2 linked regions of the Caenorhabditis elegans genome follow. The protein of the gene in region 1 purifies or fractionates together with the protein of each later gene. This does not show direct contact. Each region holds a gene or a part of one and is shown on either strand. Other genes may lie near its edges.

Region 1 (16,601 bases):
CGATAATATTCTTCATGAGTTTCTTGTAAAGATGTACCGGATACAATGTCTCTGCATCACAGTGATATTTTGCTGAAAAAATAAAATTGAAATACTGCTTATAAATAATGACAAACTTTTTATGCAAAACTTGTCCCCGAAATTATGCTCGTCATCAATAGCCAATGTTGCAGAATCACTTTCATTTCTGGTCTGTTCTCCGTACATTTCACAAATCTCATTTGTTGGCTCATAATTCAAAGAATAGCATGGTATATTTTGACCGATTGCATTCTGAAATAAAAATTCGTAAATTACTTCATTAATGTTATAAATCCTAACAATGTTTTGACTGCAATACATCAAGCAACTGCTTTGGTCAACTCCATTCAATCTCTGTGGCAACATTTTGGTTGATAACCGACTCCCATACACCAAAAAGTAGGACAAAGTTTCGTCACGTTGGCATTCTGCAATACATGCCTTTCAATGTTTTTTGTTGCCCCGGTGGCGGCAGATAAAACCCAGCGAGTACGCTCTCTTTCGGCCTGCTTAGTATAGTGGTTAGTACTCCACGTTGTGGCCGTGGCGACGCTGGTTCGATTCCAGCAGCAGGCAACTCCTTTTTGCAGTTCTTTAAAAAAAATGTTATTGTAGCTTACTGTAATTATGCGCTGAGTTTCTGAACGAGGTAATGATATCTGGATGTGTTCTTTTCTTTGGTGGTGATGTTGTAGTTAAATAGTCCATATCAAATTCGTCTTCCATCGCCTGGCGCTCTATTTCTTGTACAATTGAATTTTCAAAATGAACTGGAGCTTTTCGAACATTATCTCTTATGACTTGAGGGTTCGGGTCTTTTGGGAAATCAGAATTCTCGAACTGGAAATGCAATTACATTAATTTTCTCTAAACAAAAAACTCCAACCTTTGGTAAATTTGGAATAGTTTGAGCTTTTGGAAGCGTGCTTATTTGTGGAGTCTGCAGTTGCTGAATATTTTGCTTGTATCCACGAATCGGAGCGATTTTGTCTTGGCACTGTCCATCCCAACTGCTGCGAATGTAAAAGTCGTGATCCTCCAAATACACCACCTCAGCGCCTGAAAAATGGAAAATTAGTGTAACTTATGATATTTGTAGTAACAAACCGTTGTGAGTTCCATCGTGCCCATAAAGCTGGCAGGTACTGAACTTTCTATGGAAGACCACAGAAACACAACCATCCTGTAATTTTTGTTTGAATTAAATAAGTTTTTAGAAAGCAAATTTTACTCCTTTCTGAGCTGCTTGTGATATACAGTAGTTAAGGCATTCTCCGGCAGTGACGTGAAAGAGTTCAGCAATGGCGTCAGAGTTGGATACTGCGTGGCTCGGATGCACATTGAAACATTGCCCTTAAATTACTGGGTGAAGTAAACAGGAATACCAAAATTGACTAACGTATCAATTGCGTCTGTTTTTCAAACCCGTCTATTGACGGCTTATATCTTGGTTGTCTTACTATTAGGTCTCATTTAAAAAAAAAGTTCAACAACCGAAATATAGAAACATATTTTGCAAAAAAATCAACAATAACCGAGATACTATCTGCCTCATTAAAGCAGTGGGCACAGAGGCCGGGCTACATGGCAATTGCCGGCCAACCGGCCAAATGAGCCAGTGAATAATGTTCTTCCAATTCTTTTCTCTAAAATTTAGTGATAGAGTACAGAGAAAATATTAGTTTTGCCTGAAAACAATTTTAATTTAAGTTGGAACATTTGAAAAACTGCTCAAAAATTGTCTGAAAAACTCCGAAAAACTATCAAAAACTGCTTCTGGTAAATTCCAACTTTCAGAAAATTATTTTATTAGATATTCATTTGTTCCGACTGAGATGTAAAAAAAAAGTTTTTACATAAAGAAAGTATTTTTCAATATGCTATCATTTGATTTTAATGAAAAATATTGGGAGAACATGCCACACTGAGTATGTTTCTTATGAATTATAGTATTACGCTCTACAAATTGACCATCAAAGTTTTAAAGTTGAGAAGTAGAGTACAATACTAATTTTAAAAAATGATATTTGAAATTTGAACTTACATGTTGCATTAACAGTAGTCAGCAAGCAAGTCAGACATAGGAAAAACCAAAATCGCATTCCAACCTAATCAAATGTTTCACAGATACGATTCGACAAACTTTTCTTCCTTTCTCTTTTGCCCCCTAATTTCAACTGTTTCTCGCGCGACAGATATCTTGACCTCCATTCTCGCAAATCCATGGATGGTTGTTGTTGTCTTAATATTAATAATAACAATCGAATGTTTGGCATTTTAGAAATTCACTTTGATGATCAATTTCTTTTTACAGTGTTCATTTTCACTCGAAAACATGACAAGAGTGACATCAAAACGAGATGATAGAAACAAAAGACAAATAAATGAATCACTCTCGTGTGTGTAATGTAGAAAATGAGCTTCGGTGCTGATTAGAGAGTGAAATAGAAACATCTTATTGAGAAAAATAATCACAAATTGATTGGTTGTGAATGACTAGAATATGCATGGATGTTATCACAAATACATTGAATTTACTTTAAAAAATTGTAGAACATGATGAGGTGCATGGGAATTTGTTTCGGTAGTTTAGAAAGAAAAAAGGCAACAAGTAGTGGAAAGTTGAGACGGACGAGGAAAATGATATGAATGATTCCGTAGTGAACAGTGGAAATGGGGAAAAAGGTATTGAACAAATAATACTAATAATACAAAATGGATGATCCATCCAAAAGTTAAAAGATAGCAAACGGAAGACGAAGACGGTGTTGATACATTTTTAATACAAATTGGCCAACAGTAACACGATGCTCTTCTTGGATGTAGTCTCTGTAGATGTTTGTTTTCTTCAGATCGTCAAAGCTTGCTCGAAGGTTGCGATCTTTTATAGTGCTGGAAAATATGCTGATGTGGGAACAATGCAAAATTTAAAAAAAACCACTTACCACAACGCAATAAACCGTTTCATCGACATCGAAACTTCGTGATCTGAATCCAAAATTGGAGGGTCTCCATAAACAACCATTCGAACTTGATCGAGTATTGGAGCATCCATGAAACCATCATATGGGTATTTGCCATTGGCCACTTCGACCATAGTGATCCCCAAACTCCATACTTCAGATTTTATGTCGTATCCATCGCCATTGGGTGCAAGACGCTCAGGCTGAAATGGAATCGGTAATAAGCTTTGACAATAGGTCCTTTTATTTTTAATTTCTTTTAAAAACAACGTACATATGTCGTTTTCCAAAACTGAAGATTTTTTCAAAAGAAAACACTTCATACAAAAACGCGCAGCTATTTAATAACGCATAGTAGTGAAGCGCAGCACGCTATTTTTTTTTGATAGGTCAAATTTCGGTTTCGTTTGTAAATATGAATAAATTATTTATTACACAACGAGTTCTGTCAGTTAAGAGTCACAATTTTTAAACAAAATTCATAGCTTAAAAGAAAAAACAACGAAATTTCTTTAGTTTTAGGCTTCCTGTCTTTTTTGATAGTTTCGAAAATTCACGAGATCTCAATTATGTTGAAATGTGAACTCCGACCTTTGTTAGGGTGTTGTTTCCACGGAGACGCATGCAAATAAAACCCCGCTTAAATTGCGAAATCTTCATGATTTGAATATTTCAAAACTTACAGCCATGTACGGACGGCAGCCGACATCAACAGACTGAGCAACTGAGTTTTGAAGATAGCCGCAGATACCGAAATCGCACAACTTGACACAGCCATGTCTGTCCAGCAGAATATTCGATGGCTTGATGTCTGAAAAGTGATAAAAACAATTTTGGAAAAAAAGCGAAATTGGAATGGGAACTTACCTCGATGTATGATGTGGTGTGTGGTTTTCAGATGCTCCAGTGCTCGAATGGTCTGAAATATACAAATTGAATACGTTTTGGTGTAGTTTTGTTAACGCAGCGGATGTTTTACTTTATCAAGGAATTTGGTTTTGCAGGCGGGTTTTAATTGTTCAAAAATATCTACCGCAACTGCCACTGCTCCGAGGATCTGTTCTGGAATCTCAACCTTCTGAATATCATGTGCAATCATGTACAATTTATCGAGCGACAAGTCCATCAGCTCCATGCACATCCAGGCGACACCCTGAAACATTGACAAATATAATTTATGCCAAATAAAAATTAGTTTTTACCTCATTGAAGGTGATTCCGTAGTATCGAACAATCTCATCACAGTTGCTGGCCGCTTTTGTTGCTTCAACTTCCAGTCGGAACCTTTGCATCGATTTATTGAACGCGTCGTCCGGGCCGTTGTTGATAAGGGAGATTTGCTCAAAATTATCGATTTTTCTTTAAATTTTCCTTTTGTAAACTTACTTTAACTGCCATTTCTACGTTAGACGGCCTGTGAAGCATCTTTCGAACCACTCCAAAACTGCCATTACCCAATAGTTCCAGCTCTTGCAAGTGATCTCTTTCAAACTCGTGAATTCTATCGTTTGGTGGGAGGACAAGAGTGTTTGATAGATATTTCTTCACATAATCTCTGAAAAAATACAATTATCATACAGTTGAAAAATGTACCAATCAATATGCCTTACAAGCTATTCATATTATCTTCATTTGTCAAATCTGGCTCTGGATTTCTCATGCCGCTCAAGTTTAGCTTTGCCAGATTGTGTCGATTTCTTGGCGGCGCGAAGGCCTGAATTCATGAATGGATTAATATTTTTTCGTAATAAAACGAAAAGAAATCTTACATAAGTATGCCCGTTTGCGTCCGGCATAGCCGGTTGTTGTAGCTGCCGTTTTCGAGAAGACGTACTGCAAAAAAAAGAGGTGTGGTATATTTCGTAATCTTCAAAAGTTTTTGAGAAGCAGAAAGAGAGAATGTGTGGAGTATAGAAGAAAAAGCGGGAAATTTCGTCATTATTGACTGGCGTGTTCATTAAACTAGGTATGTTACCTCTGTCTGACGCCACTCTGTTTGCATGCACTCGACTTGACGACATTCTGCGGACTTGCCCTGAATGATGAATTATATGGTGATAAGTGAGGCTGGTGGCAAGTGTAATAAAATATTGGAGAAAAATAAAATTTATCAATACTCTCAAAAACTCCAAAGTTTCGCTGAATATTTGCTCAAAAAGTCCTTGGAAACAGTGCAGGGAAGAAAATCGATAATTGCGCCTTTCCTCTTTTTGCCTGTGCGCAGTGATACCCTCCGCTGGTGAGAGGGTGCAAAATAGGGTGCAACAAAGAGTGGTCCGTTCAATAAAAATAGTAATTCTGGCAAAACTAGCACTACTCTCAATGTGTTCAATTGAAATAAACAATTTTTAAGTTTTAATCTATTTGGCGTGTGGTTGAAAAAACTTACTTTCGTTTTTTTGGCGGATCCATAATTTTAGGAAAATTATTAAAATATTGAATATTGTACACCGGAAAGTTCAGGCAATTTTTTCATCTAGCCATGACTAGAGATGCTACAGAAATTTGGTAAGTGCGGAGAGAACAAATAGCTTCGAGAGAAAACCGTCGGAGAGCGCACCGACCGCCTCTATTTCTTTTATTGAGAGTAACTGAAAAACAAAAATAAAGAAAAAATCTACCCTTTACCAAATAGAAGAGCAAAAACCAAATTTTTGTATAAAGCATAATAAAATATGAAAATATAATTTAGCAGTGAATATGAAATAGTAAGAAATTGGACAATTATTATGAAATTGTAAAATAATGGAACACTTTTGAAAGGCAATTGAATTTTATATCAGGGAACAGTGTTGAAACACTCGACAATGCATTTTTTTTTCTTCCTTATTGTTTTGGCAATTGAATGACACTGGTGGTTTGTACTTTTGATACTAGTCTTTAGTGCACGGAGTATTTGGTGGCGGAATGGACCCCTGAAATTGAAATTACGATTGTTCTTTTATTAGTATGACTTGCAAGAGTTCCGAAACTTCATTAACTTTCAGATTCAATCAATTTTAGGTTTTCTTTGCAAACACGTACGAGAGAATTGGAATTGTAGGTTCGTAAAAATTACTCGTCAGTTACAGTTATTGAAAATAAAAGTTTTCATTCTCCAACTCAAAAAAGTCTTAAAATTAGTTTTCCAGTTCTTATTTGATATAAAATCGTGAGAGTTTTCAAAAATTAGTATTATAATCATAAAGCATATGATAATTGGTTAAGTTTGTAGGATCACGCTCACTTGTTAAGAAAGTTATTCAAAATGTTCAAAGGATTACTAGAAAACTTGAACCGGTTTTTTAAAAGTTTCTTCAAAATTCTTAAAATAATTAATTATCGTATATTATGTATTGAAACTGCATCTCTATTTGTACTGCATCTTTATTAGCACTGCATCCCCCTGTTTTTTGTTGCAAGAACCATCAATACAATTTAGTGTCATTTTTGGTGCGATTTTCAATGGTTTTACACTTAATTACAGAAAACTTTCAAACTCTTTTCTGCAACAATATTTCCAAATTTTTATAAATTTCTACATAAAATATAAGCTTGTAGAGTGATTAGTGAAAATAGTATGAACATGCGTTGGCAACCGCACAAATATGTGTAAGCACGTGTTAATATATGGTATAACTCTCATAAAGTTTTTCTGCGATTTTGTGAGCACCATAGCAGTGGAAGGCTTGGCTTTTTAACATTTGCCTTTTCAGGTTCAATTGTTCAAATATCCATTTAAAATCTAGTTACAAAACTTTTTATATGCTGAATCAGGTATATTTTTTTCCTGGAAAAAAATCCAGAATCATCATTGAAATGAAAATCCAATATCAGTTGAAATCACTTTTTTTGTTAAATTTTATTGAAATGTTTCTATTGACTTTCAAATAAATTAAATTATTGCGCATTTGTTATATTAATTTCGAATTTAAACAAATTTCTACTTGAAATTTTACTTTTGCTCATGAAACTCATACGGTAGTTTCCTTCTTTACATAGTGTTTGGTGTTCATTTTCTAGATGTGTACCTTAACCACCGTCGACTGGTCTGTGAAGCTTGGTGCCACATCTTGGTTTTCTTGAGTTTTGAGAATCGAAACGACATTCGTCAAAACTCCCTCGGTCTCTTTGTGAAGCTGATCTGTAATCTTTATTGTCACACTTTCTCACAGATAACAAAGCAACCAACCATCATCTCTATCCGGATAGTTTCTTTTCAAACTGTTCTTCTTTGTCTAAAAAACAATATTGAACAAATTGTCTTTGCTTCAATCTCTTAGATCCGGTAACAAAAAAAACACTCACCTCATGAGGCATGTCGGAATAAGAACTTTTGGGCGGGAGGGAGAACGTTACGAACTTTGTGAGCACTTCTGAATAAAAAATAAGGAAATTGAAAAGTTTTTTTGCTCCATGAGCAGAATGTTGGGCGCACAAAAAGAACGAAAATTCTCATTATAAATCTAGCACCAAATTAGTTTTTCTTCCCCTCCCATTCCACTTTATTAGAAACTAAAAAAAATCTGTTCATATTATCTTATGTCCAAAAATTCGAATGCTATTATGGGAAAAAAAAGAAAAAGAAGAAGGTATTATCGAAGAAAACAAAGATATTTAATGTGGTTATAAAAAAATCGAGGGCCAAAAGTCGCTTGCATTATCCCTTCATGGAGCGGTTTCATGTGCTGAGTGCATATAAAAATGGGTGAGAAGGAGGGCACAAAACGCTTCAGTGAGAATAGGTTGTGTGCCTTTTTGCGCATGTAAATTAAAGGTTCAGTTTTGAAATTTGAATTTTTGAATTGACCTCTGAGGATTTTAGATCTGAGAAATAGAAATGATAAAGACGATTGAATTTTGGAGCAAAAAAAAACACAAGAAAAAAAATACAAGAAGGGGCTTTTATTGGAATCAAAATTGAATTTGGAACACAGCACAACGTTTGCATGCCTGTCCCACATCAAACATTGAATTGAAATGCAGAAGTGAGAGGGGGAGAGAAAAAGAGGCAATTTTTCACACTGCATTAATGCAGATATTTTTATGATGGGAGGGAAAGGGGAGCAGATCGTTTATGGAATTCATGGAATGGCGAAAGAGACTGACAATCATGTTCCTAATGGAACGAATGGCGAGGAAGAAAATCGGTTTCTAAAAAGAATGGATTCGAGGTGATACAACAAAGAAAATGCAGAGAAATTTCAAAATGTTATGTTCCATATCAATTATCCTTCCATAATTCTTGATGCACAATTGCATTCGTATTTTGCACAACCACACTACGCTCATTTCCAAATCTTGAGTAGTCTAATTCGCCGGCACAATGACGTTTTGCTGCTGGCTCAATGTCGTCGTTGTCGAGCTTGTGACGGATGGCCATCCTGTCGGTTTTAGGTTCTCCGTATGCACATTGGTAATAGAAATCGTTGCAGCCGAGCTTGTTGGTTGAAGTGTAGATGATCTTGTCATATGCCATTCGGCTGAAAAATGAAAATTAAGAAAAATTCTGTAGTTTTGAAGGAAATATTTTATTTCTGGGGAAAATAAATGACACAATGTTTTCTACTTTCAGTTGCTTATAAAATTGTCAGGCTAACTATAAAATGTTTCGTTTGGAGTCTAAACTTTTAGAGTTTTAAAACATTTCAGTCAAAGTTTGACAAATTTCCAAATGCTCAAAAAAACGAACTTTTAAAATAAATTCGAAAAGCTCCTGGTCGTATACAAATAATGGGAATGAAGTTTAATGTGAATACACTCATCCAACATGACCGAATATCATAACAAGCGCTAAAAAAATTTCAACTATAAAAAGATCATGTGAAAGTTAATCTGTGTGGGCAGCCATGCCAAACGATAGCTAATTTTACTGAACTTACGGATCATTCTGGAAACCAAGATGATGGTTACTATTGCTTGCTTTTTCAACATCAAACATTTGATAGGTGTACTGATTTCCTATTTCTTTGTTTAGTTTCACTAGTGCATCAAGTTCCGGGCTTTTGGAAGTTAGAAGTGGTTGTTGGTTGAACTGAAATAAAAATTTTTTGAGCAGGCCAGAATTTGGGATATTTTTTCAAACTTGAAGAAAATTTTAATTTCAAAAATGAAAGATTTTACCTGGCATGCTGGAATATCATACTCAATTGGAGGAATTGTAATGGTCAAAGGTGTTTGAAAGTTTGTGCTGGTTGTTTCCTGGCTCCTGGGCCTTACATCATCAGAGTAAACGGTATTATTTGTGTTTAACTGAAAGTATATCAATTATTTAATTTAATTTTCAAAAAAATAAACTTACCGGAGACAACATAGACGATAGACTCTGCATTATTTGGGGATAGGGGAAAAGTTGAAATAGGCAGGTCAGACTGAAAGAAGACAATATATGGCAAAAATGTCAACAGTGGTATCGATACGTGCGGTAGATGGGTGGACTGATAAAAAAGTTCATGTGTTTGGTTCTATCAGAATTCTGCTCTAAAACTCAGAATTTGTGGAATTGGAAGATAACGATTGGCATTTTTAATTGTCAATTTTTTTTTTTTGGTAAACCCAGTCAGAACTAGAAGTCTGGTAATTGATGATAATTTTAGCAAAACTTTGTATTTACATCTACCAGCAAGAAAATATATTTGACCAGTTTTATAACAAAATGGAGCACAACGTCCCAATAATGCAGGCCTTTAAAAGTTGAAAAAAAACCACGAATTGCTTTGAGGCACATACAAGTAGTTGTGATGTTCATGACAAACAAGGAAACTGGTTTTAAAACGCTGATAATTTTCCACGAGGCAACTACTGAATCTAATATTGTTATGGGTGTGCGGCCTCGTACACCCATCCAACACGTTCGTTGCAGTCGTTAAAGCCTCGTTCACTTTTCAGGGAAGTCACGGAAACATCAAAAACTGTAGGAAATGAAAATCTGTTATAAGTGAACCACACACTGTCAATGGAGACGCATTTCGGATGAGATGATAAAAACTGCCACAGATAATGAATGACCCGCAGAGATTCGAACACAAAAGGGAAGAATCGAAACTGTTGCGCATTTTCTATCGAATTAGTTTCAAGCGTGGAACAAGTTGTTGGGTAAGGTTATCTAGCTATGAAGCTTATAACGTTTGTATTTGCTTTAAGGGTTCCGAATGTGGGCAGTTTCAAACTTCTCGAACTGACACATCCACTTTGACGAATTCTATCTCGGATCTCTATATAATAGTTATATCAAAAAAAGTTTAACTACTGAAATATATGTAGAAAAATATTTTGCTAAGGGGGTGCAATACTATTACATGAAATACGGCATAGCTAATTTTAAATTTCCAGACAAACTTTTCAAAAAATGCATCTCAAAAAATGTATTTAAAATAGGTACCTACCGAAAGTTTAACAGCAGAAAATAGCTTTCATCTTTAAAAATTTCGGCTGAAACTTTTTATGTCACTTTTCGTTGAACGTTTATTTGAACTTTGCCGTAAAGTAGTTGTTTCTCACCTTATATTAAATCATGGAAGTTTTGTAAACCTGGAAATCAATTTGAAATTTTAAAAAAACATTCGAAAGTTCATTTTTTTGGAATTTGTGACATTTAGTTGAAAATTACAGCCAAATATCTACAATATTAGCATTTTTTAATAAACATAGTTCAACACCAAAAATAACCATTTGCTCTTCATTTGACGTCAACTGACACAATGAACTTTGGCTAAGAAAATGAAGTGAAACCCATAGAAAACGGCGCCGTGACGAATAGTTTTCCATTTATTCGGGAGTGGCGATGAAACGCAGTCATTTTCTGGCGGAATGTCGAAGCAGCGACTCTTAAAAACTCATTTCATACTGCTCTCCATGCCAACATCACAATTTATGACAAATTATTCAACACTTGTTGACGTTAACATTTTTTCCAATGTCGTTTTTTGTTCTTCCAATTTTGAAAAACTGAAACTTTAAGTCTGATCGGAACAATATAAATGTAGCTATTTGTAGTTCTAGATCGTTAAATTAAAAAAAAACATTGTGCAGGATGTTTACAGAAACTGAAAGTCAAAACCTAGAATACAATTTTTTATTCTAATTTCAAGTTTAATGTATTTTTTGTATATTTTTATTTTGAATACGTTATACCGTGGCCTACAATTTTAAGCAATTTTTTTGTTGAAGTTAAATTTGAAGCTTTCTATTGTAAATTTAAAGGCACAAACAAAACTATTCTGGAATGAATTTTGCGTGGCAAGACCCATTCGCTTAAATACAGGGTGGCGCACAATTACCCGCACAAAAGTTTGCAGCGGCACCACGTATGCAGGGACAAAACATTGCAAATGCGATATACAAATACTTGATCATTATCTTGTTTTTCACTATTTCGTCAATTTTCAGCTCAATCCGTTCTGTTTCAGCAGAATGGTACCACTAAGTCCGAAGGTCAAATCTCCTTGTTTTTGTCAATAAAGGAGTGAAAATCAACATGGACCTGTAAGTTTTGATATTTTGGAGAAGAGTTTGATCCCATGGACATCATCTCACTTTAATGGAGTAACAGCAAGACGGCACACCGCCAATCTCACTCAAAGCTGATGCGAGACTCATTTTACCGCGTTCATTCTTAAGAATAACTGGCACCGTCATCGCTGGACCTCAACTTATTGGATTATTCCAATTGAGGGTTCTTGTAGGCAAAGGTCCATACCAAACCTCACTTAAGTATTGAGGCTCTGAAGAAGATCTTGATCGTGGAATGGGGCGATTTGTTGGAGGAGTATCTGCGTACAGTCATCGATGCCTACCCGGGACTTCTTCGAGAAGCCATGGCTAAGAAAGGAGGTCGCATGGAGCATGACTAATCAAGTTATGTTGTTTTGGATATGAATAAACTTTTTGTTGAGTTTTATGTTTTTCTGACGTCTGGTTTTAAAGTTACACTACAGTATTTGTGTGCGGGTAATTGTGCGCCACCCTGTACATGCTCCTTGAAAGATGTACCTGCTTTGAAAAAAAAAATCAGGTAAAACTGCTTCCCTTTATGCATAGACAGTTTCTAAGTTTTTCATAATACAATTTGGAAAACCAAAAATAGTGACAAAAAGACACAAATACTTAAAAATAAAACAACTTCCATTGTCATGTGATTTTTAGAGTTTTCCGATTGGTGCAGCTTTGGTTTAGCTTTGAGACGATAGTATTCGACAGTCTGGAATTTTTTTATGTGTGTTTTGTTTTCTAAATTGAATTAATATTCACCTTTTCAAAAAGATTTTGCTCCGGACAATATCCCAATTCTCTTCGAGCCTTTTCAATAGAATATGTGTTATCTGTTATCAAAACCTCTAGTTCGAATCGTGTCATCGGTGGGCTTGAGTTAAAAATTTTATAGCAGAGATACGATGAAAGCGATACAAATGTAGAAACAAGTAGACACGAAACAAAATGATGAGGTGGTGTCTTGCCAAGAGCTTTTATTAAAGGGGACCAAACTGAGTACTGGCCGACTGTCTCACCATCTGTTATGAAATACACCTGAAATCTATGGACATTTAAAACTTTTAAAATTTGACTAACTTCTCCATGAGAGCCCTCTTTTTTTGATAGCTCTTGATTTGCCAGATGAAGAGCAAGTCCACAGTTTTCGCCACTGCTCATGTTTGAAACAGACTCCCGACCATGGCGAGATATTTTGACCATAAACAAGTTTTTACGGACCATTTGCTGAAATTTTAGATTTTTTAGTTTTCAAAGATGGAGAAGCGAATTTCGGTTCAGTGTCCTGCAATAGAGATATGTGCTACTTTTTTTCGGTGTATTAACAACAAATCCCTTTTTTCATCGTTGTGCCAAAACTTTTTTTGCAAGGTTACATAGAAATAATAGAAATAGTATCTAGTATTTTATAAAATAATTTCAATTTTCATTGGAAGTTTGGAAAATTTGATATAACCTGACTTAAATATTAATTGGCAAATTGTTCGATATATTGCGGCTTTGAGGTAGTTTTTGAGCCACTTCTTAAAATTCTCCACAGGAAGTAAAGTAATTTTTAGAAAATAACTGTGTTTTTCTACACATCAATATAAATTCCCAAAAACTGATTTTCTATCAAAAATGTTGAAAATAATGTATCAAACTGTTTCACTATACAATTAAGTTTTGCAAGCATTTTCACCTCATTGAGGAACAAAATCCTTACGCCACATCTAAATTACTTACAACAACTTTCTCAGCAACTGTCACATCTTGAGGGCCATAAATTGCTCGAAATCGCAAGCAAGTTGTTTTAAATTGTATAGTAGACTGAGACCGCACAAACGCTTCAGCTTCTGCTTTTGAAGACGAGTAAATATCAAGATACTGAAAATATGATTGAAATTAAAATCTTATGTCACATATCAATACTTCCGATTTCAAAGGGTAGGGTTCCGATTCGTCACAATTGTAAATTGGTTTTCCCACAAACACTACAGCAATACTTGAAGAGTAGATAAATCTTGGAACACCAAAAAATTTACACTTTTCAATCAGAAATTTTGTGCCAGTTACATTGAATGCGTACACATATTCACGATGTTTTTGGGCCTGAAAGCTTAAAATCTTAAATTTTCAAACTATAAATTCTATGATTTCTACCCCAAACCATCCGGTGTGCCCAATTGCACATAGATGAAATACTGTAATAGCGTTCGGTAGAACGCGTTCAAGCACTTTTCTATCAAGGAATGAGCCCTTAACTGTTAGTATTAATGACAGAATTTGAAATAAAATTCAAACTTTTTCATATTCCACAAGACTTTTATCAAAGTCTATAGCTGAAAAATGGGATAATCGAGGATTCGGATCAACGACAATGCATTTGGTACGATCCCCATTTTTCTGAAGAGCTGCTATAAGATGAGCACCAAGGAATCCACCTCCTCCAGTAATAACGTAGTGATTTCGCGGACACATTGAATGATATTTCTTGGCAGATTACACCAAAATCAATACAAAAAAGGTATTTTCAAGGTCATTAACAACAGTAGAGTTTTAATAGGAAAAATAATTCTAGTCAAGGTTTTCAGTTGCTTAAAAACCAAATGAAAGTTAATCAAAGTCAAGTTCCTCAAGTAAAAATGAAATAGAATGTTCTTGTTTTACTCAACAAAATATAATAATGCCTAGAAATGGAACGCAAACGTGTGTTACCTCCCATACCAAAAACCCGGTCACAAAGTGCAAACTCTTATCATTCTCCCTTGTGGCAATAGAAGATTAACAGTGATTGACGTTCTTATAATTTACCGACAACAGACTCACTTCTGTTTTAATACCTACATGGAACATGAAGATAAATTATAGAACTTCCTATGAGTAAAAATAGTAATTTACGGTACTGGTCGTTTAAGAATTCTGATTTAATTTTAAAAAAATAAACGGTATGTGTCCGAATAAAACTGGTTTAAAAATTTAAAAAAGGTTTTAAATGATTTTTTAATTTTGCCAAATGTATTTTCTGTAAGATATTTCCTGAAACTTTAACATTGGCCTGAAAATTGATATTTTCACATAAATTTTTTCTAAATAATTTAGGGAAAATTATTTGAAATTTTGACAAAACATATTTTAAATGATATCTAATAAAAATCTGAAAAAACCGATAATTTATGCAGTCATTTATTTAAGCGGGAATCATTTACTATATATAAAGTAGAGTTTACTTCCGTCCAATATAGGATAATATCAATTCAAAAAAATCAAATTAATTTCAAAATTTCAATGTTATTTTCAAGGGGTATTTGAAATTTATTCCAGCCAGTTGGATGCGCCGGAGGCGCGGTCAGCGTCTGGTTTAAACATAATTGATACAGTTTACTTAGTTTTGCAAATAAACAAATAATAAAATTTTTTGAAAACTTTCATTTTTACAGTTATATTCAGCCTGTTTCATTTTCTATCATTTAATGCAAGTTTACCAAACAATGCAACTTTTTCTGTCAATGCTTAGAAACGGTAATTTGAACGTTTTGACTTAAAAATTCAAATTTCGACAGTTCGTTCGTCTCTCCCCATAAATCGACCTTTCACCCTCCATTACCACTTCAATCGCAAAATCTTGTGATCTATTGCCCTTTAAAAAAAACTCCTAAAAAGTCGTGTTTTCCTTGATAAAAACGTCTGTGTGCCACCGATCAGGCCATTAAAACTTGAGTACAATGTTGAGAATATTATCAGAGAAGTTGAGAAAACGTGGCACTTTTGACAGATGCTAAAATGGTGATACAGATTTATTGCTGTACGAATTTACGACCGTTGGGACGCAGTGCACAAAAAAGGTTAGAAAAAAAACCGTTTATTTTACATTTCGATAACCTGTTACGGAAAAAAAAGTTTTAAAAAATCAGAATTTTGAAATTTGTTCACAATTGTGATAACTTACCGTACCGTTAGCGTAACTTTATTTGTTGTATTCTGAATAGTCAAGAAAGTTCCAAGAAATCCAAGTGAACAAAGGGTTTCGAGGAAAAAATGTTGAAAAATGAGAAATTGAGCCAGTTTTTCTTCCTGCCCCAAAATACTCGGTTTGTGGGTTTTGATATTGAATTATCGTTGATATTTGATGTATACATTAGCACCAGTTCTTCCCAGTTTTTGTGTCCACAGTTGTTGTCTACAGTCTACAGATACATATATAAATTAGCTTACTAAGTTTCTTGATTTTTTAGAATTTTCTTCATTTTTTTTTGGTTATTTAATATAACCAAAAAAATCTGGATCTATGATATGTGCATTGTGAGTCCACAATGCCCTCATAGACACATTACACATTAACTGTAACTGTACTTTAATTTTTTACAAAATAAGTTTTTAGCATAAAATTACAGGATTTTCCAGAAACCCAGTTATCATTAAAAAAAATTGTGAACTTTTTCAGTAGGTCAACTGTTTGTTATCAGTGCCATAAATATTGTGCCTTGTCGTACAAGGTATATTGGTGAAAAAAATTTGTGAGTTGGAAAAAGACCATATCTCTTGATAAAAAATGCAATCTTGAAATTAAACCAACCTAAAATAACTCGTTTGAAAAATTGAAAAAAAAAGATTTGTGGTTGTGGTTCACATAGCTTCACATAGCTTTTAAAATTTTCAACTTTTAACATTTAGATTTTTTTATTTAAATTATAAATATTTGTAAAATCTGAAGTATTAAAATTATTTTCTAAACTTCCGATTCTCAGTCAGTAGCTGTATTCAATTTTGTTAACGGAACCCCCTAGCGTTTTTTTCACCTTATCAATTTGCTGATAATAAAAACCATGATTATGATTTGTTGTTAAATCAGAAATTTCAGTTTTTTTGGCAATGATAACCAATTTTATAGTTAAGCATAATCAAGTTTATGTACTTTGGTTGTCAGGAAAACTATGAGGAATTTAGTTCAAAATTTTTTGAAATTTTACTTCATTAAAACATAAATGGTCAGTTCAAATTGAACAAAAATAAAAAAGCAATTGAAATGAATACGATGAGGATGGAAATTGCAGATTTCCATTCTGTAGTCGCTGTAGCTACTTCATTCTCTTCCAGATCTTGATAGTATTTTGCAACCTGTAAAAAATCATTTACTTGGTTATGATATTAGTTTTTATTACATCTGTCATG
Region 2 (15,554 bases), about 12 Mb from region 1:
ATTTCTTGCAAAAACAAATGTTTAAAAAATTTGAGTTTGATGCAAATTTATAGAAATTGATGGATGAAATTGAAGAAATTGAAAGACCAGAATTTCTATTTCTAAAGGAAATTCACAATGTTTTGTGTTTTTGGACAGTTTGCTTACTCATTGTAGAATGACTACTGCAGTTAGAAACTTGACAAATCCAGCTTTGATATTAAATAATCTGACTATTAAGATTGAATCAACAATATTTATTTCCGGATTTTTGATATACTTTTAAAAAATGTGGTTCAAAAATGTGGTACATGTGAATTAGCTGTACCCTAGAATTTTTGCAATTCCATAATGTTAACCACGCAAGAAGTAATTATTTTTATGCTATTCCTTTCTAAAATACAAAAAAATTACGCTTCAGTTTTTTTTTTCAAATTAAAAACATTTTAGGGTATAGCTAATATACAAAGATAAAAAATGTTAGTGCAATGCTTGTTCTTTTAACAATTTTAAAAATTGATCTAAATTTTTACAAAAGTATTTTCTGCCCTATTCAGTGTATAATTTCTGTTATGGGGTTATTCAAGTAGTGTCAGAAAATTAAAAGTGTACAAAAATGACGTTACGACTGTATTAAATTACATAAAACCATGTATTTTAATACAGTTGTGACGTCATTAATGTATTAAAATAAATTTTGCAAAATTACATGAATAACCCCATTACTTTCGGAAAACTTTTTTTATCTGGTTTTGTAGGAAAAATTAGTTTTATTTATATTTTTTTTTTGGGAACTCCAAGAGAACAGAGTTAGAAGATTTTAGAATTTTGCAATGATGCTCAGCTATTATAAAATACACATAATTTTTAATTCTGCATCTGACTTTAATGAGCACCGGATCAATATTCCATTTGGTAACTTGGCTTATTTTAACTTTGAAAAACTTCAAAATGTTTAAAACGGAAAAATCTCTGTGCGCAACTGAGCAACTTATTCACCTTACCTAATGTATATAGGGCACATAGATTTGAGGACACGAAATTTGGAAAAATTTCAACATTTCAAGTTTTTCGTGTGTCAAAACACAGTTCATAAACTATTCTCTTGTGTTTTTTTTTTGCTAATTTCGATATTCGATTTTTATGCGCAAAAAGTTTCAGTGTTTATAAAACTTTTCTTTGTTTTTTCTACCAAGCCGAACTAAAAAAAATCGCAAAAAAATTTGAATCTCTTTGTTTGCTTTAGAAAAGAATGCCGATCATGACATTATCAGTTGCGGAAGAAAAGAGCAGACGGACTTTTTGTTTTGTTTTGTTTAACCAGCTGTTTGGCTTGACAAAGAAAACATATGCGACGAGTTTTTTTTTCCAATAAAAATTGACACAAATTAAAACTTAAGCTTCTAAATATTATAAGAATTTTCACTGGTTTGTGAATTTGAAAAAAAAGAGATGTCTAAATTTTGTAAAAACGTCAACACACTGAAGATCGTATGTTTTTTGTAAGTTTTTTTTAGCTGTTTGATGTCTAAAATTGGTGATTATTCGAATTTTTAATTTAATTGAACTGAACTCTGTTTTGACTTCATAAACTTTCCTACAGATGAAAAAATTAATTTCTCAATTTTTAGAGGTTAAACGGCAAAGCACCTTTTTAACACAAGTTAAAAAACAATGCATACTAGACTTGAGGGCTTCAAAAAAAGTGAAACTCATAAATCAAACTGGTAAGTGCCTATTCAAATGAAAATATTATTCGCCAGTAACAACAAAAAATGAGGGAAGAGTGCAAAGGTATAAGCTTTTAGTCAAAACTGAACATTGATTTAATTTCGAACAAAACTATTTTCGAAAATAATTTAAAAGATGACATCAGTTGAATTATAGAGTTTGCACAGTTGCTCTTGCAACTAAACCGAAAATTCCTATGAAAAATGCAGAAAAATGTTCCAAATCTCAAACAAAGCACGCCACGACCTTGCATTTTTCTTTGATTTTCTATTCAAACTTCAGCAACTTGAGATAATCTGACAATAAAACCTCAAGCAAACGATGTATGTCAAGTGAGAAGCGAATAAAAAGCACAGCAACAACAGCAGCAGCAGCGCGAAAGGAATAATACATAAAATTCAAAAAGAAAACGGAAGAGAACAATCGGATGCGCACTTGAATAAACGAACGAGGACGATGGCTCGCTGGATTGTCGTGGGATAATCAATACAGGTGTCACAAAGCGAGAGAGTGTGGGAGAGTGAGAGACTCAGCAACGAAGGGACCATGAGGTTTCCATGAGCGTTGTGCATGTGGTTTCAATTTGAAATTGTTACCGGAGAGATTATATCAAAATCGTTTATGTTCTTCACATAATGTTCAAAAGTCTTTATCAAATAATGTTATATCTGAAAGATATTTAGATGTCAAACTGAAATTCATACAAAAAAAAAACATTTGTCGCAAAGTCACAACTGTATCTTTTTTGAACGGTAATTTTATTTTGCTGGATATAAACATAATTATATTATCTTTCTTTGTTTAGTTTTAAATTATTATTATTTCCCATTTACTTGTTTTTTTCTTTTTCAAAATCAAAACTTTTCTGAGAATACGCTTTGCCCCTTCCCCTTTCAAATAAGCGACAAGTGAAGAGAGAGAGAGAGAGAGAGTGTTGGTGCCGCAGAGAACAGAGGTGTAGTCTTATTGAAATAAGCGCAGGGAAGGCGATACAATTATTAGGAAGGTTTTTCTTAGTACTTGTCTTTACAAAAATACCGCAGTTGATTCCTTAGATTCTCATATTCAGTTTAGATTACTATAATAATTTTAAATCGGGCACAGAAATCTACAACAAAAATTATAATTTTTTATATTTTTTTCCAATGCTTAATGTTTCAAGCCGAATTGAAATAGAATAAACTTGTGAAGAACACTAGACATTTGAATGTGTTGAGAACAATCTTTTATTTTGTCAACACGTTTTGCTGATATCATCGTCATGGAACGCAAAAGCAGAACTTGAGAATTTTCAAAAAAACACAAGGAGGATCGGAACATGTGTTGATGAAATGACATATGACGGGAGAAAATGAGAAATCATGAGAACATCAAGACAGAAAAGAAAAAAACTCTGGAAAACAAAACGGAAATATGTTTTTAAATTTGATCAGTGATGTTTAATTCAAAATACAAAGAGTAATAATCGCTCCGGAATGGACTTTTTTTAAAGATCAGATGGGAAAGCCGATATGTGTGAACTAATTTCATAAACTTTGCAGGAGTTTATCAAAATTTTACTACCAATAACCGTGTATTGTTTGGATAATATTATATTTATCTTTTCATAAAGTTTACAATTTGAGAAAAATCCAACTTTCCGAGTAAAAACCTAGAAAACGTCAATTCAAACTGAATTCACACTGCAAACTGTCAAGCGGAATTGGGAGTCTCGTTTGGCCACCCCCACGTGGTTCTTTGAAGAAAAACTTCAGTTGTTTTTTTTTGAAATTTTGTCTTGATACATAAATCCTACCAAACTTCGAACTAGAAACAAAATTATACTATAGTTTTCTCTGTAATCACAATGAGAACTACAAGTACATTACTTCTTATCAAAAACATTCAAACTTTCTCTATTCGAAACGATTTTAGAAGCATCGTATGTTGCACTACACAACAATACATCCTTTTTGGTTGTGCAATCAACAAAAAAATTTATGCTATGAAAATCTTTCTTTACGCTACAGGGCGTGGAACAATGCCCTTGTCTCTTCATTTTCAAGGTGTTTTGCAATATTTTTTTTTTTCAAAACTCAAAAAAAAATCTTACCTACTAAGTGAATATATCTGTCGTCTAGTTGGCGCAGATCACAGGTTCCCCGATTTTTTTGTTCCTAACTTGGTTGTAAAAACGTCTGATACGTTGTGTGTGCTTATTTCCTGCTTATTGCTGAAGGTGCTTGTTGCTCCTTTCAGCCAAATAGTCTTCCATCGATTTTTTCTTGCTCCAGTAGAATTGAAATTTTAATATAATTAGAACATTTTGCAACGTACCAGATGGCTTGCACATCAATGAAGCTCGGCCGATGGTCTAAACCCAACAAAGTATCAATGAAGCTCGGCCGATGGTCTAAACCCGACAAAGTATCAATGAAGCTCGGCCGATGGTCTAAACCCGACAAAGTATCAATGAAGCTCGGCCGATGGTCTAAACCCGACAAAGTATCAATGAAGCTCGGCCAATGGTCTAAATCCGACAAAGTATCAATGAAGCTCGAGCGATGATCTAAACCCGACAAAGTATCAATGAAGCTCGGCCGATGGTCTAAACCCGACAAAGTATCAATGAAGCTCGGCCGATGGTCTAAACCCGACAAAGTATCAATGAAGCTCGGCCGATGGTCTAAACCCGACAAAGTATCAATGAAGCTCGGCCAATGGTCTAAATCCGACAAAGTATCAATGAAGCTCGAGCGATGATCTAAACCCGACAAAGTATCAATGAAGCTCGGCCGATGGTCTAAACCCGACAAAGTATCAATGAAGCTCGGCCGATGGTCTAAACCCGACAAAGTATCAATGAAGCTCGGCCGATGGTCTAAACCCGGCAAAGTATCAATGAAGCTCGGCCGATGGTTTAAACCCGACAAAGTATCAATGAAGCTCGGCCGATGATCTAAACCCGACAAAGTACCAATGAAGCTCGGCCAATGGTCTGAATCCGACAAAGTATCAATGAAGCTCGGCCGATGGTCTAAACCCGACAAAGTATCAATGAAGCTCGACCGATGATCTAAACCCGACAAAGTATCAATGAAGCTCGGCCGATGGTCTAAATCCGACAAAGTATCAATAAAGCTCGGCCGATGGTCTAAACCTGACAAAGTATCAATGAAGCTCGGCCGATGATCTAAACCCGACAAAGTATCAATAAAGCTCGGCCGATGGTCTAAATCTGGGCAAGCAGCCAGGGAACGTACCCGACAATCTAGTTTAGACTGATTTAATTGGAAATTCACTCACATGCTTTATTCTGGTTTGAAGAAACACTCAAAAAGGAATGTGAGCTCAAAATCATATAATTCCGAAACATCTATAATACAATGGCTTGTCGTTCCGGCAACTTCTGCTTTGGATCAGATCCTTGCTTCAAAATTTGTGAAATATCTGAAAACAACAATTGGAACATGTACCAATATATTGATAACTTACCGAAGGATAATCCCGTACCAGGTTGCATTGGAGAATCGTTCCAATTTTGACGATACGTACATTTCTCTGGATACGTATTCTTATTATTTCGGTTAATTTAATTCGTTCCAGTTCCATCGGGTAACGTTTTCACAAATCTACACTTCTCTCAAAATCAAATATTTTTTCCAGGAATTGAACTGCCGCAAGTGTCGAACATTTTTTCGGATAGAACAATTTGAGAATCTGAAAAAAAAACAAATTTTCTTTTTTCAGCACTAACTAGTAGCTGTAGCAGGTAGGGCGAATGAAGTGGGACCAAAAATACAGTCGGAATAATGTGCTTTGAATATGCCTAGGTTTTGTACGTTTGAGAACTGCATTGATGGTAATGAGTTAAAAACCAATTTCCTGGTACACAAATAAAATATTCAATAAATTCAAAAGTTACACATGGTACCTTATACATATTACTTTAAAAATGAAATTCTACTTGTCTGCTTATCATGGAAATCTTCAAATGTATCGCTTCCAAACGCTTCAGGGCTCGCTTCAAACAGTGGTTTGTGGATTCCAAATATATCTCATGCGTTCATATCTCCACTGGCAGCTCTAGATTTGTATCTCAACTCAAACTCAAGCGGGACTTTTAGGATTTCTTGAGTCCTTGATATTGTGTGTGTGTCGCCAATTTCTCCGGGAACGCGCTGTTTTTTAAGCAGGTAAAAGGAGGTCATCTGTGTTAGAAGTCAATCCCTGTAAAATGTGAATTTAATTAAGCTGAATTTCTTTTTAGGTAAGATTTATTGAAATTTATCTGGTATTATGAAAATTTTTATTTTAAAAAGTATACCCCAAATAAGATGTGAAACTTGCCTGATGATCTAAACCCGAATAAAGGGCCATGCTACATTCTGGTTTGAAAAAAATAATCCTCTCAAAAATTCTCGATCTTGAAGTTTTCCTTCAAATCAAATCAAGCTGTAGTAGAAAATTTGCAAACATCGATAGTTGGAGTACTCAAACTCACTGATTTCGATCTGACGAGTTCGAATTTAACGGTCACGCTTCTATGAGCTGTCCCTAAAAAAAAGAAGATTAACAATATAGACAACGAAGATTAAGAAAACAATAATTCTTAACTAGAAGGAAAAAGCTAATACATTGAAAGATTAAAACCAATAAAACAACCCAACTGAACAAACGGACACTGCAATTTTAAAACTGAGTAATAATATAAACTTCAATCCAGTTTGTTTTTCTTTGTTATACAAAAAAATTGAGGAAATACCAAAAGCTTTTTGATTCACTTTCGCAAAACTACAAGACACATCAAAAATAAATAATAATATACAGTGGGAATAAATTTGTTTTAGTGTTAAATCGATTATGAGAAAAGAGGTTACATTATTATATTAGGATACACTCTCAGCTGGGACACTCTGCGGCTGCAATTACGTCACATACACTTCTAATGCAGGCACAGTCAGAATGTATATGTCGGCGACTCTTCAACTAGGACACTCTGCGGCTGCATTACGTCACATACAGTTTTAATGCAGTCCCAGTCATAATGTATATGCCGGCGACTCTTTAACTGGGACACTCTGCGGCTGCGTTACTATCCGCTCTTTGCTCATCATCGCCTCAACGCTATAGCGCGTTTATTCCCACTGTTTTGCTATTATGTATTTGTGTTTGTGCCTTGCAGTTTTGCAAGCGTTAGTGAATCGAAACGATATTGGTCTTTCCACAAATTTTTCGTATACCACAAGGACTGCCAAACAGGAATGAAAGAGACTCTAGCGTGCAAGTTCATTTTATTACTCAATTTTAAAATACTTAGTAGTGCCCGTTTTTTTTTGTTTTATAGGTTTTATTCTTTCAATGTACTAAAATTTTCCTTACTTCATATTTCTAAGAATTATTTTTTCCTAATTGATTATTTTTTATTTTTTCAGGGACAGCTCATAAAACCATGACCGTTAAATTTGAATTCGTCAGATCAAAATGAATAAGTTTGATTACTCTAACAACGTTTCCAAACTTTCTATCACAACTTTATTTGGTTGGAAGGACGACGAGGATTTTGAGAAAAAACAGTTCTTCAAACCAGAATGAATCATGGATCTTTTTTCAAGGCTACTCGTCCGGGTCTAGACCATTGGGTACGTTTCATGGCTGCTTACTCGAGTGTAATTATTTCAAAATATATACTAACTATATTAAAATTTCAGTTCTACTGGAGCAAGAAAAATCGATGGCAGACTATTTTGCTGTAAACAACGACAAGGGCGCCCGCCAATGCGCAGAAAATCAGCACACACAACGTATCAGGAGAAGTTGTCATGCTCCAGTCAAGTTAAGGACGGAAAAAATCAGGAAACCTGTGATCCGCGCCAACTAGGCGACAAATAGATTAACTTTTAGTGAGTAAGTTTTATGTAATTTTAGTACAATTAAATGTTTTTAAACAAAAATCGGAAAGTACATTTTAGTACAAATTTCTGTCCGGTGACAACAGACCTTTTAATGTTGGTTAAAAAATGTTCACATTTTTCCCAGGTTTTTGCTTGAAACTGTGTCTTCGGTGATGACAGAATTTTTACTGTTGTGGGTAGTAAGAAATGAAAATGTTTCAAAATTCCGGCGCGCTTCATAATAATATTTATCACGTAAAGCACTACAAATTGAATATATTCTTTAGAATGTTGCATCATGTGTCAGGATAATTACACGTCACTTTTTTTGCTTTCGTGATATTTTTCATGAAAACTACTAAACGGAACTTTGTTCACATCTCCTTTCTCAAACCCATTCATCAATTTCAGCTATTTTCAACATTTCTATGAACGCACATCTATTCAAGCTCTGAAAAACACCAGGGGCTTAGCTTGTTTTTGCTAGTAAATTAGAAGTTGAGCCTGCTGGTGGGTTTTCCGCGGTTTTTGGATTTTAATATTAACTTTTTTGATTAGCATGCCAAAAATATCGGTGTAAAAATTAAAACTGAGAAACTAAAAACAAAATCAATATTCGTAAATAACCCTAAAACTTTATTGCTCAAAAACTGAACAAAAAAACAGAACGTTATCACTACAAAAGTGACAAATCTTCTTCTTTTGACTCAGGATACCAATGATCCATCACTTGTCGGTAACCATCACAGACTGCCGGCCACTTAAGATCGTACACTTGTTTGATTAAGTTCACGTCGAGTTCATGAAAGTTTGCCCATTGTCGGTACGCTAACATTTTGAATTTTTTCTCAAATTGTGGTTCTACGATTGTTCCAATATATTTTGTATTCATGTTTGAAAATTCTTATATTGTTCTGATAGTATAGAACTTCCACTACTTTAAGACTATGCTTGAAATCAAGGTAATGGATGAGTTTCTTGATTAAGTATCCGTCAAATTTCTTATTTCTTGAGTCTTACAAGGAACTCTAATTTTATGGTTTTTTATACATACTGAACTAATGACGACATGACCACTTGTAAAATACTCTAAACTTTTGCACAATTTTTCCTAGACACCTTGCAAGCACATTTCATTTCTCTAGGTCACTATTAAGTTACATATCCGTCATCTTCTCAATTTTCGACATGTGTTTCAACCATTCCGAGTGCCGCATCATTTGACTGAAATACAGCAGACTTTTTGACACTAATTAAAAATGACTTGACTCATAAGGAACACTCTCTGAAAGTCTTTGGGCATTGATGTTTTTGTCGTCATAAAGCTTTTTGTTGTTTTCTTGCCTTTCTTATCTGGCTATTCAATATTTTACATTTGTATTATAACTCTGAAAATTCCGATTTGTCATCTTTCGTGATGAATTGTGATAAAGGCTGAAAGAAAAAAAATGTTCAAAAGTCCGTAGTTCCCTAATTCTGCCATACTGTGTAGCACGCGGGGGATCCCCTTAAACTCTCCCTCCACTTTTCTCATATTTCAAACAGAGCTCCAAAAACCATCGTCTACCGCAAACTTTTCCATCCACCCTCTTCTTGGATTTTTCCAGTGTTTTCGTTTTCATTCTACCCCGTGCCTCGTCACAGCATCATATTTTCAGTCACCGGATACTTTTGCAAGCTTGTCCAAGTTCACTTGTTTCAATTGCTTCCAATGAAATTTTTTCGGTTTGAAATAAAAAAAATTAATTTCTTGAGTTTTGATGACACTCTTCTAAAAAAACACACTTTCAATTTAGCCTCAAGTCTTCTTGAAGTCATAAAGTTAGAATTGTCGAATATAAAACGTTTGCTCATTTTTATGAAGTTTTATAAATTATTCCACAACCCCAAATATGCATATTTTATTGATATTTCTGAAATGTTCACCTGCCAAATTCGCTAATTTGGTAAATTTCCTAAACTGAGTGAACATTTTTAAAGAAATGAAAATGCTTATAGTGTTTTATTATGAAACTTACTCTTTTTTAACCCAATATTAGTGTATTTACAAATAAATTGAGTCTCCACTGACGATACTTTTAATGATATTCTGCTAAATATGCAACCGACATCGATCGAGGGCATTACTTTTTGAAGCATTACCAAGACTACTGTAGCAGTAGGTTGTACCTGGCTACATCAATGTGGCAGACTTGTTCGAGATTCTGAAATTTTTTAAAGTTTTGAAACTTCTACGCAAAAATTGTCAGTCTTCAATTCAAAATTAGCCGAGTTGGGTTGAGATCAATTAATTCAGTATACAGAAAAAACATTCATTTTTTTAAATCCCACAAATTTCCTAACTTCATGTGTTCTGTGTTTTCATCTTTTGCTCATTCTTTCTTTAACGGAGTAAAAAAAAATCTGATCTTGTTTCCGTTTCGTTTCTTTTTCTCACGCTAAATTTCAAACATCTTCTAAGCGATCAACCAAACAATCACATTATTATCTACATGGGGACTTCGTGCAAATACGAGCCGCTGGTGGTGACATGGTAGAAAAGTGGTAAAAAGCTGTGAGATGTCTGTCGGTAAACACCTGGGTACTTTTTAGCGGAACATTGGATCGACAAAAGCTGAGAAATACAATACAACTCGAGGATTTTCCTCCCCCTTTCTTTGCAACTGTTCGTCTGCCCTAGACACTTTTCTCCAACAACGTAGTTCAAAATTGTTACCGAAAATTATGTCTATTAGGTCTTGTTAAGTTCCGCGTCTTTTATATTTCTCGCATACATCTTTGCAATATAAAAAAATGAAGGAAACTTGAAATGATGTACTTGAGCGTATCAAAAGGTCAGACGAAACAGAAACAGAAATCAAATTTGAACCGAAGACCATACATATCCCGGCAACGTGTTGGTCAAACATTGTGAGACGTTTTGCAATTTTTTTCGCCAGTTTCTCTTTTCATTTTTGAAAAGTTATACAGTACTGTTCTATTGGAGAGTGTGAACGCGACGCTATCCAATTTCCTTGAGTCTCTGTGTACGTATGTGCTCAGTATGTTTGAGAAAATGTGAACCATAGTTGGTCTTCGTAGGTTAATAGGGTTCTGTATTTTTTTACAAGTTTATTGAATTAGTTTTTTGTCGAAAAATATTATGTGCAATTTTTGAATTAGTTTTGAGATCCGCTTTCAAATCTGAAGAGGTTGTTTCTTTTTTAGTTTTTTAAAGAAAGCATCGAGCAGACTGTCCGTAGGTAGGCACAAAAATATGCATGTATTAGACAGGCACATACATAGGCAGAAAGGTAACAGGCAGGTACTTGGCAGGCACCTAGAGAGGACGGCAGTAGACATATTTTAAAAAGGTTTGCATACAGGTTTTTCAGGCAGGCATATACACTGAACAGGCGCACGGTCAGGCAGGCGTTAGAGAAATAAGTAGGCACTTAGAAATTTAGTCATTATGTTGACACGGCATTTTGGAAGCGTAGGCTAAATTGAAAGAACTAGCACATGAGTACAGGCATACAGGCAGGCAGAGGGGATAGGCAATTAGGTATATTGTCTGGCTTATATGCAGACATGTATACACGCAGGCGCAGGGCAGGCCTATAACCAATCATAAGTAGGCGCAATCTGACACAGGCATGTATTAAACCGTTTGAAAATTGCCTGATTCTGATTCCCAGTTTTTTAAGTTTTGATTCAAAAATTGTCATTTGATCGAAACATTTAGATCAGTTTCAAAGTTGAAGTGAATCATACATATTCAGTAGTACTTGAATCCTTCAAATCTTCTTGACTTTTTGCAAAACGATGACAATTTTAAAATCATGAAGGTGGATGTCGCGACATGCACGTTGACCACATACTACAAACAAAAGTGTGTACTTATTCCTGTATTCCAAAAAAGTAGTTGTTCTGTAATTGCAATGAAGAAACCATCCTGTTAGATATCTTACGGATTGTTTTTATAATTTTTAATTAAAGGTTTTAAATGAATAATGCCTTAAACCAAAAGATAGCTGTGGGCTCAATGAGAAATATAAAATTAATTGAACAAAGTGAACCTATTGTTAGGTACAACTAATAAAAAAAAATTTAGAACGATATTAGTGTACTTTTTTTTAAAATGCAATTTTGAATCTTTACCCAATAAATTTACTATACAAACAAAATTGAGTTGTTTCCTAAACTACTTATTTTCTGCTTATTTCAATTGTTTCCTGAACCACAAAGTTTTGAAACTTTTTCTGATTCATTTTTTTCAATTTTTTTTGCAATTCGCTTCCAAACTTACCTCGCTATATTCCTCTCTACCCAAATTGTGAATCTCAATGTTGCGATTTTTGTAATTTCAGCTGTTATTCAAAATGCTAATACATATTCATAAATACGATACAAAGTATGTTAATTTCCTGCCACTGTCGTTACGTTATTGTTTCAAAACAAATCAAAATAAATAGTTCCTCGTCAACAGCTTTACAGTAAAAACGTGTTTCGTCTGCTTATACTGCAACTTTGTTCTTGAAATTTTAAATTAGCTTTGCTTGGAAAACATAAACTTTTAATGGCTAACCAATAAAACAAATACACTTTATTATTTGCTATAAAACATTTTTAGAAAAAAAAAACTAAATGTTCTACTTCCTTTATTCTAAATTTTACTTTGTACTTTCGAACATAAAAAAGAGCATTTTCTAAAGTGTTTTCGGAAGTATTTTTAAAACAGAAAATAAAACAAAAGTTATAGTAGAAAACAATTGAAGTATTTTCCAGAACCTATGTGCCAAGTTTTCATGTAGACATGCATTTCAATTGATTTTTTGGAATTTCAAAAAAGCGAATTTTTTCAAAACATGTTTTGAAAAAATTTTCAAAATTGATTTGAAAATTTTAATTACGAAATTTGTTCAATAGAAGGCATTTTGAGTGCAATATAAAAATATCAAAACCGTTAATCATCCGTTAAAATCTACAATTTGCCTACAAGTTAACGGGGAAATCTTTTTTTTACAACACTGTTCCTTAAATTTTTGGTTTTATTATAAACCACGGTTTACAAATACTTTTTATTCTCAATTTACACTATAACTTTTACTTCTAAGATACATACAATATTACACTTTACTTAAAAGGGAAAAAGTTCAATCTCGTCCGTTTTCCCTGTTCTTTCATTCACTCAATAGCCACAAGTGTTTCATGATTCCGAGGTACAACCAAACAAATATAAACCTTTGAATGAATTGAAATCGAGGGGTAAGTCCTCGCATTGATTGACTGTGAAAAGAAGGATGGGGACGCAAAAACACACTTTCCTCATCTGTGGACTGGCTATTCACGCTTCTTATTCCATTTGCAACATTTTGTTTGAGAAGTGGAAGTTTTTGTTCTCGTAAATCTAAACAGCTTAACAAACGTTATCCATAACGCAAATTGCTTTACAAAAGTGATTGATCTTTCATCGATTCTGCCATGTTTGCCTTGTTTCACTTCTTCCTAGAATGAATTAATAATGCGCGTGTTCTAGACCTCATTCTCTATTTTTATAGCTTGCTGATCACATGTTTTGGTAACCTGATAGTTGTCGTTATTCCTAGAATCTTGTTTTCAGATTTGGGCTTGAATAAGGCAGTAGCTTTCTAATATAAAGTTCATTGCTAGTTTCAATGTGATATTAAATTTGCAACAGATCTTGTTAAGTTTTAAAGCATTTTTCCAAAGCGAAAATTTAATTTCGAAGTTGCAAAAATTAAAGTTTAAAAAATTGAAAGAAATGTTGCGAATCCTGTTCTGTTAAGTTTGGTTATAACGGTTCACACTCTAGTGTTGACACTTTTAAGGTAGAATCTTCTTAATACATTCCAACTTAATCTCATTGTTCATTTGATTTGGACAAGCCCTCTGCGAATGTTTGAAGCTGGCAAATCTTGTTAGGGCACTACACACTGCTTGGTCAATTGTGTTCTGGACTCGAGGTCCCAATATGGCACGCCCAGGATGCTCTCTATAAACACTTGTGTAAATTTTTGTCAGCATGAATTTTGACTCTGAGGGTTTAATACTCAAATTTTGAACTTTAATTTAGCTGATTAGGCTAACACATTTAATTCAGAGGAAAGTTATCAAAAATCTCACAAGAACTTTCATCCAGCCAAGGCGATACTCGGGCGCATTTCTCTCACCCTTCAACTTACCCTCCTGTTGCCCTAGGATACTTACTTACTTAGGATACTTAGACGATCCGTTCTTCAGGAATTCGTGGTATTCCTGCGGATCACAGCAAGCCATTCTTTTCGGTCCTTGGCTATAGTGGACCAGGGGGTGATGACTTCTCCGTCTGCGTCGCGAGTGGTGATCTCCTTTCGCAGCGAATCAGTCCATCGCATCGGCGGCCTTCCAACAGGCCTTTTCCATCCATATGGGCGCCATTCTGTCATCAACGTGGTCCATCTTCCGTCTTTCCTTCTCGCAACGTGTCCAGCCCATCCTAGCTTCCTCTTTTTCACGAAATTGAGCGGATCCCTGACTAGAGACATCGTACGAATGTCTTCTCGATGGAGATCTCGCTCTCGTTGTTGGGTGAGTGTTATCCCAACAAGCCGTCTTTCTAGGGAGGCATGTGTGATTCGTACTCGTTCGGATAGAGCTTTGGTGAATGTCCAGGCTTCTGAACCGTAGGTGAGCGCTGGAAGGACAATTGAGTCGAACAGATTCGCACGAATCTTCTTGTCGGTGATGGAGTCGGTGGTGTTCTTGATTCCATTGAATGCAGCCCAGGCTGCTCGACGTCTTCGGTGGATTTCCGGCATCAAGTTGTTTTGGGCGTTGATTTGACGACCAAGGTAGATGTACTCGTCGACGTCGTCGAGCTGGGTGGTGGGGGAAGGGCTACCGAAGTAGACTTTACTGGGGTCAGCGAATCGGTTTCGCAAGACTTTCGTCTTCCCAGTATTGATCTCGAGACCTACTTCAGAGCATTTTTGTACGAGTTCTTGGAGCATTTTGCTGGCAGTATTCGGATGATTGGCGATGAGCACAATATCGTCAGCAAACCTAAGGTTCGTTAGATTTCTGCCATTCACTCTCATCCCAGGGATCGTATCGTAATCCTCAGCTTCTCCTTTCAATTCAATCCAGGAAAGCTTTCGGAAAACGTGTTCGAGGCAAGCGGAGAAGAGATTCGGAGAGATGGGGTCTCCTTGTCGAACTCCTTTGGTCACAGGTACTGCGACTGGCCTGTGGAATGGGGTAAAATTTGTGGTACAATTTTAAGCAGTATATTCATCTCGTCGTTTTTCTTTTTTTTTCAAAAAAAATTAAAATAAGCTCCACCTATAACTTGGTTTTTTTTTAATTTTTAAAGGTGGAGTACCGAAATTTGAGACTATTTTTAGCTAAAATCTCAAATGTTGACAACTTCTCGGTGTTACAGCGGTTGGAACCTAATTTTTATTTGATTGTCATTTTTTAATGCACGTGTTCGCAATTTATTAGGTGTTATTTCGCTTTTTCGGTCGATGCGGGCACAAATACGATACAGGTTTGTGCCCGCATCGACCGAAAAGGCATCTCAATCAACGAAATAACACCTAATAAACTGCGAACATGTGCATTAAAAAAATGACAATCAAATAAAAATTAGGTTCCAACCGCTGTAACACCGAGAAGTTGCCAAAATTTGAGACTTTAGCACAGGCATTTTTTTCCAAAACTTTGAGCGGATCATAACTTTGTTTTGAAAAATTCTCAGAACGTCTCAATACGAAATTTGGTAGTTTTGGACCATTTTGGGTCTAAAAAGGCAAAGTCTCAAATTTCGGTACTCCACCTTTAAGTCGAGCTCGATTACAGAAACATTTTTGTTAAAAACGATAAATATTTTAAATCCATGTGAGATTTTAAATTTTTTCGCTGCAAGCTTAATTCTATTATATTCACCCCTGTTTTTTCATCATTAAATTGCCTTCTCTGACAGACCAA

The links.
Region 2: the proteins of ZC449.7 (region 1) and B0302.2 fractionate together in Caenorhabditis elegans (co-fractionation; one large-scale study listed by BioGRID). This does not show direct contact.

Annotation. Positions count from the first base shown.
Region 1 is NC_003284.9:5,006,813-5,023,413, reverse strand, and holds ZC449.7 (SCP domain-containing protein), read right to left. Parts: upstream 9,341-16,601; 5' UTR 9,295-9,340; coding exon 9,265-9,294; intron 9,216-9,264; coding exon 9,087-9,215; intron 8,998-9,086; coding exon 8,846-8,997; intron 8,447-8,845; coding exon 8,188-8,446; 3' UTR 7,854-8,187; downstream 1-7,853. Other genes in the region: ZC449.2 (Apple domain-containing protein), read right to left, coding at 1-72, 117-273, 322-449, 642-861, 908-1,080, 1,129-1,204, 1,253-1,374, 2,066-2,123; sek-3 (mitogen-activated protein kinase kinase), read right to left, coding at 2,757-2,913, 2,967-3,187, 3,668-3,795, 3,852-3,903, 4,018-4,137, 4,187-4,324, 4,371-4,539, 4,595-4,698 and 3 more; ZC449.8 (uncharacterized protein), read right to left, coding at 5,858-5,899, 6,995-7,107, 7,156-7,201, 7,272-7,283; hsd-3 (3-beta hydroxysteroid dehydrogenase/isomerase domain-containing protein), read right to left, coding at 12,192-12,677, 13,176-13,316, 13,362-13,541, 13,593-13,688, 13,734-13,910; hsd-2 (3-beta hydroxysteroid dehydrogenase/isomerase domain-containing protein), read right to left, coding at 16,419-16,547, 16,592-16,601.
Region 2 is NC_003284.9:17,168,504-17,184,057, reverse strand, and holds B0302.2 (uncharacterized protein), read right to left. Parts: upstream 5,520-15,554; 5' UTR 5,213-5,519; coding exon 5,185-5,212; intron 5,140-5,184; coding exon 5,066-5,139; downstream 1-5,065. Other genes in the region: B0302.4 (uncharacterized protein), read left to right, coding at 7,281-7,331, 7,401-7,445.